Arabidopsis thaliana: one gene and its partners. The protein of the gene in region 1 interacts with the protein of each later gene in a pairwise test. Each region holds a gene or a part of one and is shown on either strand. Other genes may lie near its edges. The genes, in order: BZO2H3, bZIP2 and RR18.

Region 1 (4,058 bases):
CACCAGGTCAAAATAAGAATGATTTAGAAATTGATTCATAACCTAACCTACATAATAATTCTTCCTAAAATAAGACAAAATGTCACACGAAATTATACAGTTTGAGATTTTTCTAAACCACTTTAACATAGAAAAGTCTACAAAATTCTACTAATGGTGTAATAGAGACGTACTTTGATAAAACGTAAATCATTCTTTCAAATAGAGTTGAACTACTGATATTCTCAAAGTCAAACCACCAACATCCACTTGGTTTGCAAGTGTTATGTTTCTCTCTCACTAGATATTCTCTTGATAAAAGGTTTTGCACAAGTGTACTAATATATGCAAAAATAAAGGACCCACCAAAATATGCAACTTGAATTTGGATAGATTCTTATCCAAAAATCAGAAGTTTAGTACATTTCTCTAATCTAACTTCACTTACAAAACTATATATTATGTTCCTCTCGGATCTCTCCTTTCCTTTGTAAAATGCAAATGGGAATATTAAATGGACCCATGAAATGAAGTTACGTTACAAAACCGACGACAACTATAATATTTATTATTTATATATTCTTGTGATGCAGATCAAAATTTAAATTGACTAAAATACCCCTTGCCACGTCAGTCTGACTTGGATTTGCCCCAAAAAGCGTTGAAAAAAATATTATTAAATCCAATAAGGCATAAACAAATATTATTACATGTATATTTTAAATATTACTTTAAGCTCCTCATATTCTTCTGTTTTTATCAATTATACACCAACATTTGTTGTTTATAAATATGAACCCCTAATCGTCCCCTTTCAAACGTGGAATATAAGATCGATATATATTACACATTTGAGTAAACAATTAGGCAATGAAGTTTGTGAAGGAGACTGCATTTCTGATAATCTTAATAATTTTTGTTTTCTTAATAATATTATTTATTTTTTTTATAAAATGGTCTGAAAAATTACAATCATTACATCGTTTCTAACGGTTTTTTCTTTCTTAAAGAATCGTTTTTAAATTTAAAATTTTCGATTATTTTTGATTTTTACCGCTAATCTTGGAATTTATCTTGAGTGCTCAAGAGTGAGTAAAATCCCTTACCTCGAAAAATCCCTTTATGGTAGAGGACGTTGGTGATAGTAACAATTTTTTCTCGTAGCTCGGTCATTGTGTCGGCCATTGTGAGATCGAAGAAAGATATTGAGATAAGGTGGGTTAAGCAGTAGATTCTCCGTTTTCCATTGTCCACTAGGATACAATTTTCTTTTTTGACTCTGATCAGTTTTTTCTATTTTAATTTGTGTATCTTAATATTATTATTCGTTGTAACTGTAGGCGAATCTCACCTTTTTTAAAAACATGTTTTAAGAAAGAAAAAAAAAAGTTTGACACTTTAATTATTTTTTCCATTCTATATATCTTATAAACTAAAAATTGTTCTAAAAAGTAGAAAAATTAGTATAACTAAAACCATATTTCCAGATACTTTTTTCCTTTTATTTATTATTAGTTCTGTTGTTAATAAAAATCGTTATAATTTTTTGTATTATGACCTGTCGTTTTTTAAGATACTACAAGAAAACAGTGACCTAACAGAATAAATCAAAAGTTTTTGCTGTAAATAGAAATACACGACTCTTGTCGGGGCCATTAGGGTAATAATCAGACAATTAAATATCTAACAAAACAACAAAACTTGAAAAGAACATATTATTAAAATGCAAGACTGCCCAATCGGATAAGAAGAAACTGTTTTGACAATTTGAAACCAAAAAAAAATAAATAAAACTAAAGAAACAAACAAATTACAAAAGAGAAAAGATGGAAAAAGTTTTCTCCGACGAAGAAATCTCCGGTAACCATCACTGGTCGGTTAATGGAATGACGTCGTTGAATCGCAGTGCTTCCGAATGGGCATTCAATCGTTTCATACAAGAATCCTCCGCCGCTGCAGACGACGGAGAATCTACGACGGCGTGTGGTGTTTCCGTCTCCTCTCCTCCTAATGTTCCTGTAGATTCAGAGGAATACAGAGCATTTCTCAAGAGTAAACTTAATCTTGCTTGTGCTGCTGTCGCCATGAAAAGGGTACTCACTACTCTGCTCAAGTTTGAGTTTTTTTTTTTTTCATAGAAAAAGAAAAACAAAACCTTTTTATCTGTTAGTTTGATGAGTTCACTTGAAGCTAAGAAACTAATCTTGTTTTGTTATGTTTGAGTGTTAAGATCTTATTGGACCTTTTGTATATGATTTGCCATTATCTTCCTTGAGATTATAATTTGCATTAGTTAATTGATTTTGTGGTGTTAATATTGAAAATTTGATAGGGAACTTTCATCAAACCTCAGGATACTTCTGGTAGATCTGACAATGGTGGAGCCAATGAATCAGAACAAGCCTCTCTTGCTTCTTCCAAAGGTTTTACAATACATCTATGATAAGCCTTTTAAGATGTTATTGATAGTTGTTGTGTTTGTTTTCAAGATTTCTTGTAAATGCTAATGGACCAATCTGTATGCAGCTACACCAATGATGAGCAGTGCTATAACAAGTGGATCTGAGCTCTCTGGTGATGAAGAAGAAGCTGATGGTGAAACTAATATGAACCCTACTAATGTTAAACGCGTTAAAAGGTAACAAATTTACATCCTTTCTTGGACTTGAACATGAACATGAACGTGAATTTGTTTGTTATAGGATGCTCTCTAATAGAGAATCAGCTAGACGGTCCAGAAGAAGAAAGCAAGCACACTTGAGTGAGCTAGAGACACAAGTATGTTACTCTCGCAGCGTTCTTATTCTTTCTCCTTTAACTTTGTTTAGCTCACTTGTGCGACAATCTCCATTTCGTGTAGGTTTCACAGCTTCGTGTAGAGAATTCAAAACTCATGAAGGGTCTCACTGATGTAACTCAAACATTCAATGATGCATCTGTAGAAAACAGAGTTTTAAAAGCCAATATTGAGACACTACGAGCAAAGGTAAAATACTTTCTTTTATCTCTCTGTCTACCAAAACTCGCTATTGAAGCATGTTTGTTTTTGGCAGGTGAAAATGGCTGAAGAGACAGTGAAGAGACTCACTGGCTTTAACCCAATGTTCCACAATATGCCTCAGATTGTTTCAACTGTCTCTCTTCCTTCAGAGACATCAAATTCTCCAGACACTACAAGCAGCCAAGTGACTACACCAGAGATCATTAGCTCGGGGAACAAAGGCAAGGCCTTGATAGGGTGCAAGATGAACAGAACAGCTTCGATGCGTAGAGTTGAGAGCTTGGAACATCTGCAGAAACGTATTCGAAGCGTTGGGGATCAGTAGCTGTTAAAGAAGAATCTTGATTTGTAACATTAATCTTAAGACATATGTTAAGACAAAATGTTGTATGTTTTTGTAAAGAATTGTTTTTTCAGATTATTTAAATTTTTTTTTGTCTTCTTCGTTGATTGTTTGTGTTGAACTTCTAATTTTCATTGTACATGTCTTTTGTTAAATTTACAAAGTTTTTCTAATTTCTGTTAAGAATTACAAGTTTTATCAATTTCACCTAGTGAAACTATTGAAATGGTGATGAGGCAACGATGCAAACGTATAATTTTGGTTATTGAAACTAGAAATTACGAGTTTAATCCCAAATTTCGGCTCTTAGAATCGGGTTTCTATCAATAATTTTTGTTTAAATCCGAATTAGATTATAAATATATATATAAATAAAATAACTATAATTAAACCTTATTAATTTATATTTTTTTTCAAAGTAACCTTTAAATTATGATTTAAGATATTCAATTATGTTCGTTTTTTCGTATCGATTATTTTGATTTGGTTCAGATCGGATAAAACATCTCTAATAAGAATTAATATGCTCTTTTGTAGAATTAATATTCATGAAATATTTAGAAATTTTGTATATTATATAAAATTTAGGAGTACTTTTGACGTATTTTTTTTTGTCGACAATTTCTTTGATTACTAACCCAAAAGGGCAAATTATAAGAGAAGTATAGGTGAAATTTGTGGATCCAAAACCCCATGATATAAGTCCAAACTAAACCCATACAATAATACATCAAA
Region 2 (3,568 bases), on another chromosome or scaffold:
TAAAATATATATATAACGTATGATAAAACGATCAACTTACATTGTTAAGTGTTTCTAGAGCATTTTAAAAACATATTCTATAATTTCATATATAACATTTTGTTCATAAAACTTAGGTAAATTTGATCTCGAATCTTTAAAACAACCAAAATATTGTCCACAAAAATTCGGTGTAATATTGAAGGTTGTTGTTGTTCATGTTCTTGATTACTTTTCAATTCTCTACATTTTTACATATTGTTTCATTTAGAAAAGGAGTTGGTTGAATTGTGGTTTATCACTTAATTTTTATTATTTATATGTAATTTATTTTTAATATAAGGTTTTATTAATTAATTTGCCTGTAGTATTGTTTTAATGTATGTTTATAGTTATTCATCAAACAATTGTGATCAATATAAAGATTATCCGACCGTTAGACTCGTCACAGGAAATTTTTCTGAAGTTGAATTTCAAAAGCTCAAACAATTAAAACGCGTAATGATAAGTGTTGTAAAATGTTATAGAATTAAATTTAAAATTGTAAACAAAAAGATATACAAATAAAGAAATGATGTTGATGATGATAGTGCTTTATTTTCTTATATTTTTTGTGTGTCTTTACCAATAAGAAAAGAATAATCCATTTTTATAGATATGAAAATTTAGTAAATCAATTGAAATTATTACAAATGATGTAGTGTAGTTATTTTGAAAATGGAGTAAACATTATCTGTAGAATATGAATTAATGATACGTGTTACATGTATTAGACATTCATTGGATTTGTAACAATTTATAAATAATTAGAAACATACTTCAGATTTATCTCTTATAACTATATTATAACTTTTTCTAACAATTTGTGACAGTTTTCGTTTCATTTTAGTTCTTACCTTCAGTAAGATCAGCTTTTATTTTGTGTTAAACAAATTCAACAACTCGTACAAACACTTTATGAGACTTTTCAATAATTAAGACGAACAACAATGATCTAGTACACACAAATTAGATACTAACATTTTTAGTTCGAAATCATTTACTAAATTCAAAATTTTGATATCAATCACATGGCTCGAAATTACTGTATTAGATTGAAATATCAGAGCACATATCAATCCCACAAATCCTCATGAATTTACTTAATCCACATACTTTAAATTTTATTTTTAAATATTCTATATTTTCTTAAAATGTTGGCTGAAATAATGTTTTACAAAATTTTATTTCGTTGGAAAATTATTAAATTTATCACCTTCCTATTTGATATCACTTTTAATTCACCAATTGTATGTATCAAAATATTCAAAGCCATTGACTGAATTAATGGCAACAAAAATTATCAAAGATTTTCTGTAATTCCTACATTGACTACATGCAATTTTCAAGACATTGACTATTTTCAATAGTTTTCACTCTTTTTAATCTTGATATCTGGTCAACTTTTACCACCTACCTATTTGTCTATCCTACTACATATCATTAATCACACCATTAAACCACACAAATCTATACTTACCATTAATATTTTTCTTTTGAATACCAAAAAAACAATCAAAAAGTAAAGTGTCATTACCAAAAAAATAAAAAAGCAACATCCACCTACTGACCTACATATTTTTTTTAATAAAATTATAATGAATCATTTTGTTAGTAAAAAATAAAAATGATAAAACAATGGGCGCGTAAACGATTCCAGCTTTCCCCACCATCCATTATTTCCCAAAAAATCAAAATAAATTAAAAAGACACAAGTGGATGCTTGAGATTTGGTTTCTATATAATCCATAACACACCCTTCATCAAAAACCTCTTTCCCATTCACTCATCTTCTCTTCCTTATCTCCTTAAAAATCTTCTGCTGTTTTCTTTTTTATATTTAGAGCTCCTCTGTTTCTTCTCCAATAACCAAAAAAAAAAAAAAACTCTTCCTCTGTTTGTTTTCAAGTTCTGACATCATAAATTCAGACCGAGAAAACATAAAAATTTGAGTCTTTTGATGATCGGAAACTGATGACTCCCGTTCTCTGCGAAATCCTGCTCTCTGGGCTCACGGTCAAATCTGCTCTCTGCCGTAGAACCCATCTCGTTCAATCTTTCTCCGTCGTCTTCCTCTACTGGTTTTACAACGTTTCATGAATTGCTACAAACTCTAATTAATTTTTTCAGACAGATCATAAAAAAAAACCAAACATAAAACATAAAACTCTGTCCTTTTTTTGTCTTCTTGTAACTTTTCTTGTTAAAAATCAATGGCGTCATCTAGCAGCACATACCGGAGCTCAAGCTCTTCCGACGGTGGTAATAATAACCCGTCGGACTCCGTCGTCACCGTCGACGAACGAAAACGTAAAAGAATGTTATCGAACAGAGAATCTGCACGTAGGTCAAGGATGCGTAAACAGAAACACGTTGATGATCTAACGGCTCAGATCAATCAGCTATCAAACGACAACCGTCAGATCTTGAACAGCCTCACCGTAACATCTCAGCTTTACATGAAGATCCAAGCCGAGAACTCTGTTCTCACCGCTCAGATGGAGGAGCTTAGCACCAGACTCCAATCTCTCAACGAGATCGTTGATCTTGTTCAATCCAACGGTGCAGGATTTGGTGTTGACCAGATCGACGGCTGTGGTTTTGATGATCGTACGGTTGGGATCGACGGATATTACGATGATATGAATATGATGAGTAATGTTAATCATTGGGGTGGTTCGGTTTACACTAACCAACCCATTATGGCTAATGATATCAATATGTATTGATTAATAAAATTAATTAAAATAATTAGATGCCCCTTTTTTGTCTTTTTATTTTAAAATTTAGCCCATTTTGGTGTTTTTGGGTTGGTGTGATGATGTAATTATAGTACATGCATCTTTGATTGGTTGGAAGGATAAATATAAACTTTATATATATATTGGGGCATATATATATGAGTTGTACTTTGTCATGTATTGGTGTGTGTTTTGTTATAATTATATGATTATATATGTTTATGTTATCATGATTTTGTCTTTCACCTTAATATTCCAATTGTTTATTCGGATAATGGTTTGTTTATGCTTCGAGAAAAGCAACTTTTTGGATTGGTAATTTTTAAGAATGAAAAAAATCACATTTTGGATTGATGATTATATATATATATATATATAAGCTGCATTTACAATTAAGTTTTGGTTTTTCTGCAAATAACAATAAAAAGGAACTTCTAGATAACATGTCAAATCTACCAAGTCAAATTTCACCTGTAATATAATTCGTTGTCAGCAACGTAAGTGCTAAATAATGATCAATTATATAACAAATAGAGTTCCTTGCGACTAGGAGAAATTTATCATAATGTATGTGAAAAATAAAAGATCTTCAAACATATATATGATGCTTATATGTTTAGAGGGTTTTGTTGCAAGAACCCATCATTTTAATATAAGATTATGGTTTTTTTAGTTAAAACACAGATGAGCAAATCTTAGGTGTATGATAATTATTTAGAAATGTATTAAAACCTTCGTCAGTCAAACATTTTTGCTTAAAAGTATCATTCATACAAAAGGACATAAATTTAAAATTCAATGATTTTTCC
Region 3 (4,901 bases), about 13 Mb from region 1:
ACCTAGGGACAACGAACACAGGAGCTCTGATCCAGGCCAAAGGGGTACGCTACCTAGAGAGGAAGTGGTGTGTGATGAAGCCAAATGTGAGGTTGGATGATCCGCAGGTAGCTCCAGCCGTGAGCTACGCGTGTAGCCTTGGGGACTGTACTAGTCTTGGGGTTGGGACGTCCTGTGCTAATCTTGACGGGAAACAAAACATATCGTATGCATTCAACAGTTATTATCAGATACAGGATCAGCTTGATACAGCTTGTAAGTTCCCAAACATATCAGAGGTGACCAAGACAGATCCATCTACTGGAACTTGCAGATTTCCGATTATGATAGAACCTTACTACGGTGGGGCAGCCCGGGAACACGGGTTCTTTTTCCCACTACTGATGGTGGCAGCCATCGCAGTCTCTATTTTTTGATGGTTTCTTCTTGTCAATTTGTAATTCTGTGTGATGGCTTGAACTATTTTTTTTTCTTCTTGAATTCTGATTTCTCTTCCTTAGACCAAGTGATTATTAGAGCTGTTTTCTGGGACCAAACTGACCTTAAAACAATGCCATATTGCCATGTTCAATAAATCAGGCCCAAATGAGCATTTGAATTTGTACTATAGTAGTTGGGAAAGTCTATTGCGCTCTCTTTCTCCCTGGAGCTCTGTTTCATAAATGCTGGAGAGACTGTCCTTTTGTTGTTTTAGACATCTATAGTACTACAGATTTGTACAACTTCCAATTCTTCATATGAAGTTTCCCTTTCTCCTTGCTCTCGTTCTTCTAGATAGGAAACTAGGAGACGATTATCTAATTTCTTAATCTTTGAGTCCAATTGGCACTATGCACCACTCCAAAAAATAGTCTTTGATCTGATTTCCACTACCACAGAGACTTATTTCCAGTTTCCTTCCATTTGAAGAAATCGAATGGTAATAATAATCTGAGTATAAGAAGATCACAGAGTTGTCGATTTCTTCAAATGGAAGGAAACTGGAAAATAAGTCTCTGTGGTAGTGGAAATCAGATCAAAGACTATTTTTTGGAGTGGTGCATAGTTCCAAGGGTTTGGTGATGGATAAAGTTAAGACTGTTGGAGACTCATCAGCAACAATCATCTGTGACGCAGTTTTCACATTGGTTGTGATTTCAGATAGAATAATCAAGAAAATGGCAGAGTAATCACAAGTATGACGATTGACTAAGAATGTGGAGTAATAAGAGTCGACGGATTCGAATGCCTGAATGTGATCAGGTCAGTCCATTGCATTTGTCGAATTCTCTTTTTTTTTGGAACTGAGACCATACGCGTTATGTCAAAAATCAGATTTTTTTTGTTTTGTTTTGGTGCATTCACTTAGAAGACTAAAAAGGAAAAACATTTCTATGGAAAATAGGAAATGCATATATATAAGGAAAGCCAGGAAAGGTTGAAACGTTGGGTTTGAACGTTTATTTGCGAGTAAGGAAACAAAATGGGGACATTTACATTCACTTTACGAAAAGTTTGTCTTTTGTGCTCAGATAAGGCAAGATTCAACCAACAAAAGAGAAATTAGAGGAACATGTGACTCTCTCCACGTCCTCATTTATGGAAATATGAGCAGAAACAGAAGGAAATTTCTAATTATTTGGAGAATTAAGGGCCAGATTAACCGCGTAATCACTCTCTCTTTTGGGCCACTCGTCTTTATCTTTTTACATTTGTCTATAGGAGGACTATGGTCTTCTTCTAGTCCCAAACTTGAGGTTTTAAGAATAAAACAGATCAGATTTTAGTCTATGTACTATATTCCTTTGAAGAGAGGAGACTTGCAAACGTATTGCATCAAATATGGAGTTTGGAAGCACTGAAGATGGAAGGCATGACAAGTTTCCTGTAGGAATGAGGGTTCTTGCTGTGGATGACAATCCAACCTGCCTTCGGAAACTCGAAGAGTTGCTGCTTCGTTGCAAGTATCATGGTACTACATATTCTTTGCTTTTGTTTTTTTTTACCTGTCTGCTTCGGAATTGGGGTGCATGGTCAATGATGTTTGATTGATTACGCCAGTGACAAAGACAATGGAGTCGAGGAAAGCTCTGGAAATGCTGAGAGAAAACAGCAACATGTTTGATCTGGTGATAAGCGATGTAGAGATGCCAGACACGGATGGTTTTAAGTTGCTTGAAATTGGTCTTGAAATGGACCTTCCTGTCATCAGTACGTCTCCTACCATTGTTTTTCATATCAACTCTAGCCCTTATTGTAACCTGCTTCATTGTCTCAGTGTTGTCAGCTCATAGCGACTATGACAGCGTTATGAAAGGTATTATACATGGCGCTTGCGATTATCTGGTCAAGCCTGTTGGACTCAAGGAGCTTCAGAATATATGGCATCATGTTGTGAAGAAGAACATTAAATCTTACGCAAAACTGCTCCCACCTTCTGAATCTGATTCCGTCCCAAGCGCCAGCAGGAAACGGAAAGACAAAGTCAATGACAGTGGTGATGAAGATGACAGTGACAGAGAAGAGGATGATGGTGAGGGGAGTGAACAGGATGGTGACGGGTCAGGTACGCGGAAGAAGCCACGTGTTGTTTGGTCTCAGGAGCTTCACCAGAAGTTTGTCAGTGCCGTTCAGCAATTGGGCCTCGACAGTGAGTTTCCCCATAGACCTCTTTAAACCTTTCCTTATGTGTGATGTCCACTCTTGTTTCTCCTATAGAGTTATTTTGATGCTTTCATGTGTGGGATCCTCTTTTCATTTCTCCTTGTGTTCATCACAGAGGCTGTTCCCAAAAAAATACTTGATCTCATGAGTATAGAAGGTCTCACTAGGGAAAACGTAGCCAGTCATTTGCAGGTACTAATTCCCCATTCTCTCTTGCATTTTTCCCCTTCTTTCGCAAATATAATCTTGGATGGTTAGACTTGTTTTATTCTCTGGTTTTGGTTGCAGAAGTACAGACTGTACTTGAAAAAGATAGACGAAGGTCAGCAGCAAAATATGACCCCAGATGCATTTGGAACAAGAGATTCATCTTACTTTCAGATGGCTCAACTTGATGGACTTAGAGATTTTACTGCCGCAAGACAAATTCCAAGCTCAGGACTCTTATCGCGTTCCCATCTCACCAAACTCCAACCCCCTATGTATTCATCGATAAATCTCCAAGGAATGAACTCCTCCAGCTTCATCCAACAGGGGCATCACCAGAACTCAAGCAATTCAGCTAATCCGTTTGGAACATATCACAGTACTCTGTCACCAAGAATCCAGAACGTGAATCTGTTTCAGCGAACTTCATCTCCACTAGAACCCCTCCAGTTTCCTAGAAGCAAGTCATACATTGGAGATTTTAAAGGCTTAGGGGACAGAGCTATTGGCGGTAGCTTCCTAGATACTTGTATGCCATTTGGTAGCTCTAGCACCTCTTTACCAAGTGCTTCCACCAATCCTCTAATGTTGCAAGCAAACTATACACAACCCCTGCATATAGCCTCAGATGGAATTCAGCCTTGCATCGAGGGAACTCCGTCCAACTCTGCCTCCCCAAACATCAGTTTCCAAGGCTTATCTAGATTTCCTGGTCATAGCTGGCAAGGGAATTTGAACACAACCAGATTCCCACCGAGTTCCTTACCACTAAATCTTGCTTTCTTGCCGGATCAAGTGACATGTGCAGGGAACAATCTGGGAGATTGTACTTCTTTGGTTTCTGCAGAGAATCCTGGTGGAGAGATGCAGTGTGATCCTCAATTACTTGGCGGCTTCATGCAGAACGTGAATCCGTTAGGCGGACAGAAATGGGAGCAACAGAACTGCACCATGCTGAACAATCCATTCGGTAACATTGAGTATCCTCTACCCGCAGATAACATGGTTTTCAGAGACAACAATTCAACCAGAAGCAAAGGCTTGGATGAGTCACTGATGAACCCAATAGACAACAGTCAAGAGTATGTTGGAAAAGCTACTACAATGCTGGATCCAGAGATGAAGTCGGGAAAGCCAGAGAATGACAACCAGCATGATGTATTCGATGACATAATGAATGAGATGATGAAACAGGTAACGCGGTTGTTTTCTTGATTGGATTAAAAGCTTTTGTAGTTTGTAGAAAATGAAAGTGAATGTGTTTGTTGCAGGAGGAGAATAACGGAATGGTGCCAGTGGCTACTAGATTTGGCTTTGATTCATTTCCTCCACCTTAGCTAGTCATCTCTTTCTCTACCAGTTGCATTAAGTTTCTCCACTTGAGACCATTTTCATGTGATTTTTTTAAATTTCTTCCCACATTGTTTCCTCCGACTGTCAATAGATCATAGTACACCAACCTGTTTCATACTCTCTTTTATGAATTGGAATTGAAAGCGAGCCTGTTACAAAAATTTATTTTATAAAGTTTCTGAATAAGTGTTGTTATTCAAAACCAATATACGAATAGTAATGGGCCTAATTGAGATCGTTGGTTTACATATGGAGCTATTTTGAAGTGTCAACAAGAAGAGATATTTAGATGTCGATAGGATAATTTGGTGGGGCCTAGAAACGGCTAGAGGAAGTCAAATCAAAATGTGACTGTATGGCCCATTGTATTGTATCCTTCTTCCCACAGAACAAGGAAGACATTTGTGTCCTCCACCTTTATTCACATTTGTAACTGCTAGACGCTACTAGAACCCTTGCCCTACACGCTTTCCACGTGGCATCCTCTCGTCCCAGCGAAATCTCCTTGATATTATTTTTTTATTTCCTTATAAAGAACAGAATCTCTTCTTATCCTTTTACCTCAAAGAAAACATCGAAATCTTAGAGAAGAAGAAAAGAAAAAGAAGAGAAATGACAGAGAAGAAAGAGATGGAAGTGGTGAAAGGGCTCAACGTGGAGAGATACATGGGCCGTTGGTACGAGATTGCTTCTTTCCC

What was found.
Region 2: the proteins of BZO2H3 (region 1) and bZIP2 interact in binary tests that used the Arabidopsis thaliana proteins (3 or more experiments, as listed by UniProt).
Region 3: the proteins of BZO2H3 (region 1) and RR18 come close enough for resonance energy transfer, tested with the Arabidopsis thaliana proteins (one study listed by BioGRID).

The regions. Positions count from the first base shown.
Region 1 is NC_003076.8:10,795,895-10,799,952, reverse strand, and holds BZO2H3 (bZIP transcription factor family protein), read left to right. Parts: upstream 1-1,647; 5' UTR 1,648-1,805; coding exon 1,806-2,072; intron 2,073-2,311; coding exon 2,312-2,402; intron 2,403-2,505; coding exon 2,506-2,617; intron 2,618-2,681; coding exon 2,682-2,757; coding exon of another isoform or gene 2,758-2,839; coding exon 2,840-2,965; coding exon of another isoform or gene 2,966-3,032; coding exon 3,033-3,305; 3' UTR 3,306-3,496; downstream 3,497-4,058. UniProt on the Arabidopsis thaliana protein: Transcription factor involved in controlling responses to starvation. BZIP2-BZIP63-KIN10 complex binds to the ETFQO promoter to up-regulate its transcription.
Region 2 is NC_003071.7:7,897,467-7,901,034, reverse strand, and holds bZIP2 (basic leucine-zipper 2), read left to right. Parts: upstream 1-1,792; 5' UTR 1,793-2,231; coding exon 2,232-2,747; 3' UTR 2,748-3,023; downstream 3,024-3,568. UniProt on the Arabidopsis thaliana protein: Transcription factor that binds to specific DNA sequences in target gene promoters. BZIP2-BZIP63-KIN10 complex binds to the ETFQO promoter to up-regulate its transcription.
Region 3 is NC_003076.8:23,501,071-23,505,971, reverse strand, and holds RR18 (response regulator 18), read left to right. Parts: upstream 1-1,802; 5' UTR 1,803-1,821; coding exon 1,822-1,951; intron 1,952-2,040; coding exon 2,041-2,190; intron 2,191-2,257; coding exon 2,258-2,629; intron 2,630-2,758; coding exon 2,759-2,835; intron 2,836-2,931; coding exon 2,932-4,044; intron 4,045-4,121; coding exon 4,122-4,187; 3' UTR 4,188-4,367; downstream 4,368-4,901. Other genes in the region: AT5G58090 (O-Glycosyl hydrolases family 17 protein), read left to right, coding at 1-416; TIL (temperature-induced lipocalin), read left to right, coding at 4,816-4,901. UniProt on the Arabidopsis thaliana protein: Transcriptional activator that binds specifically to the DNA sequence 5'-[AG]GATT-3'. Functions as a response regulator involved in His-to-Asp phosphorelay signal transduction system.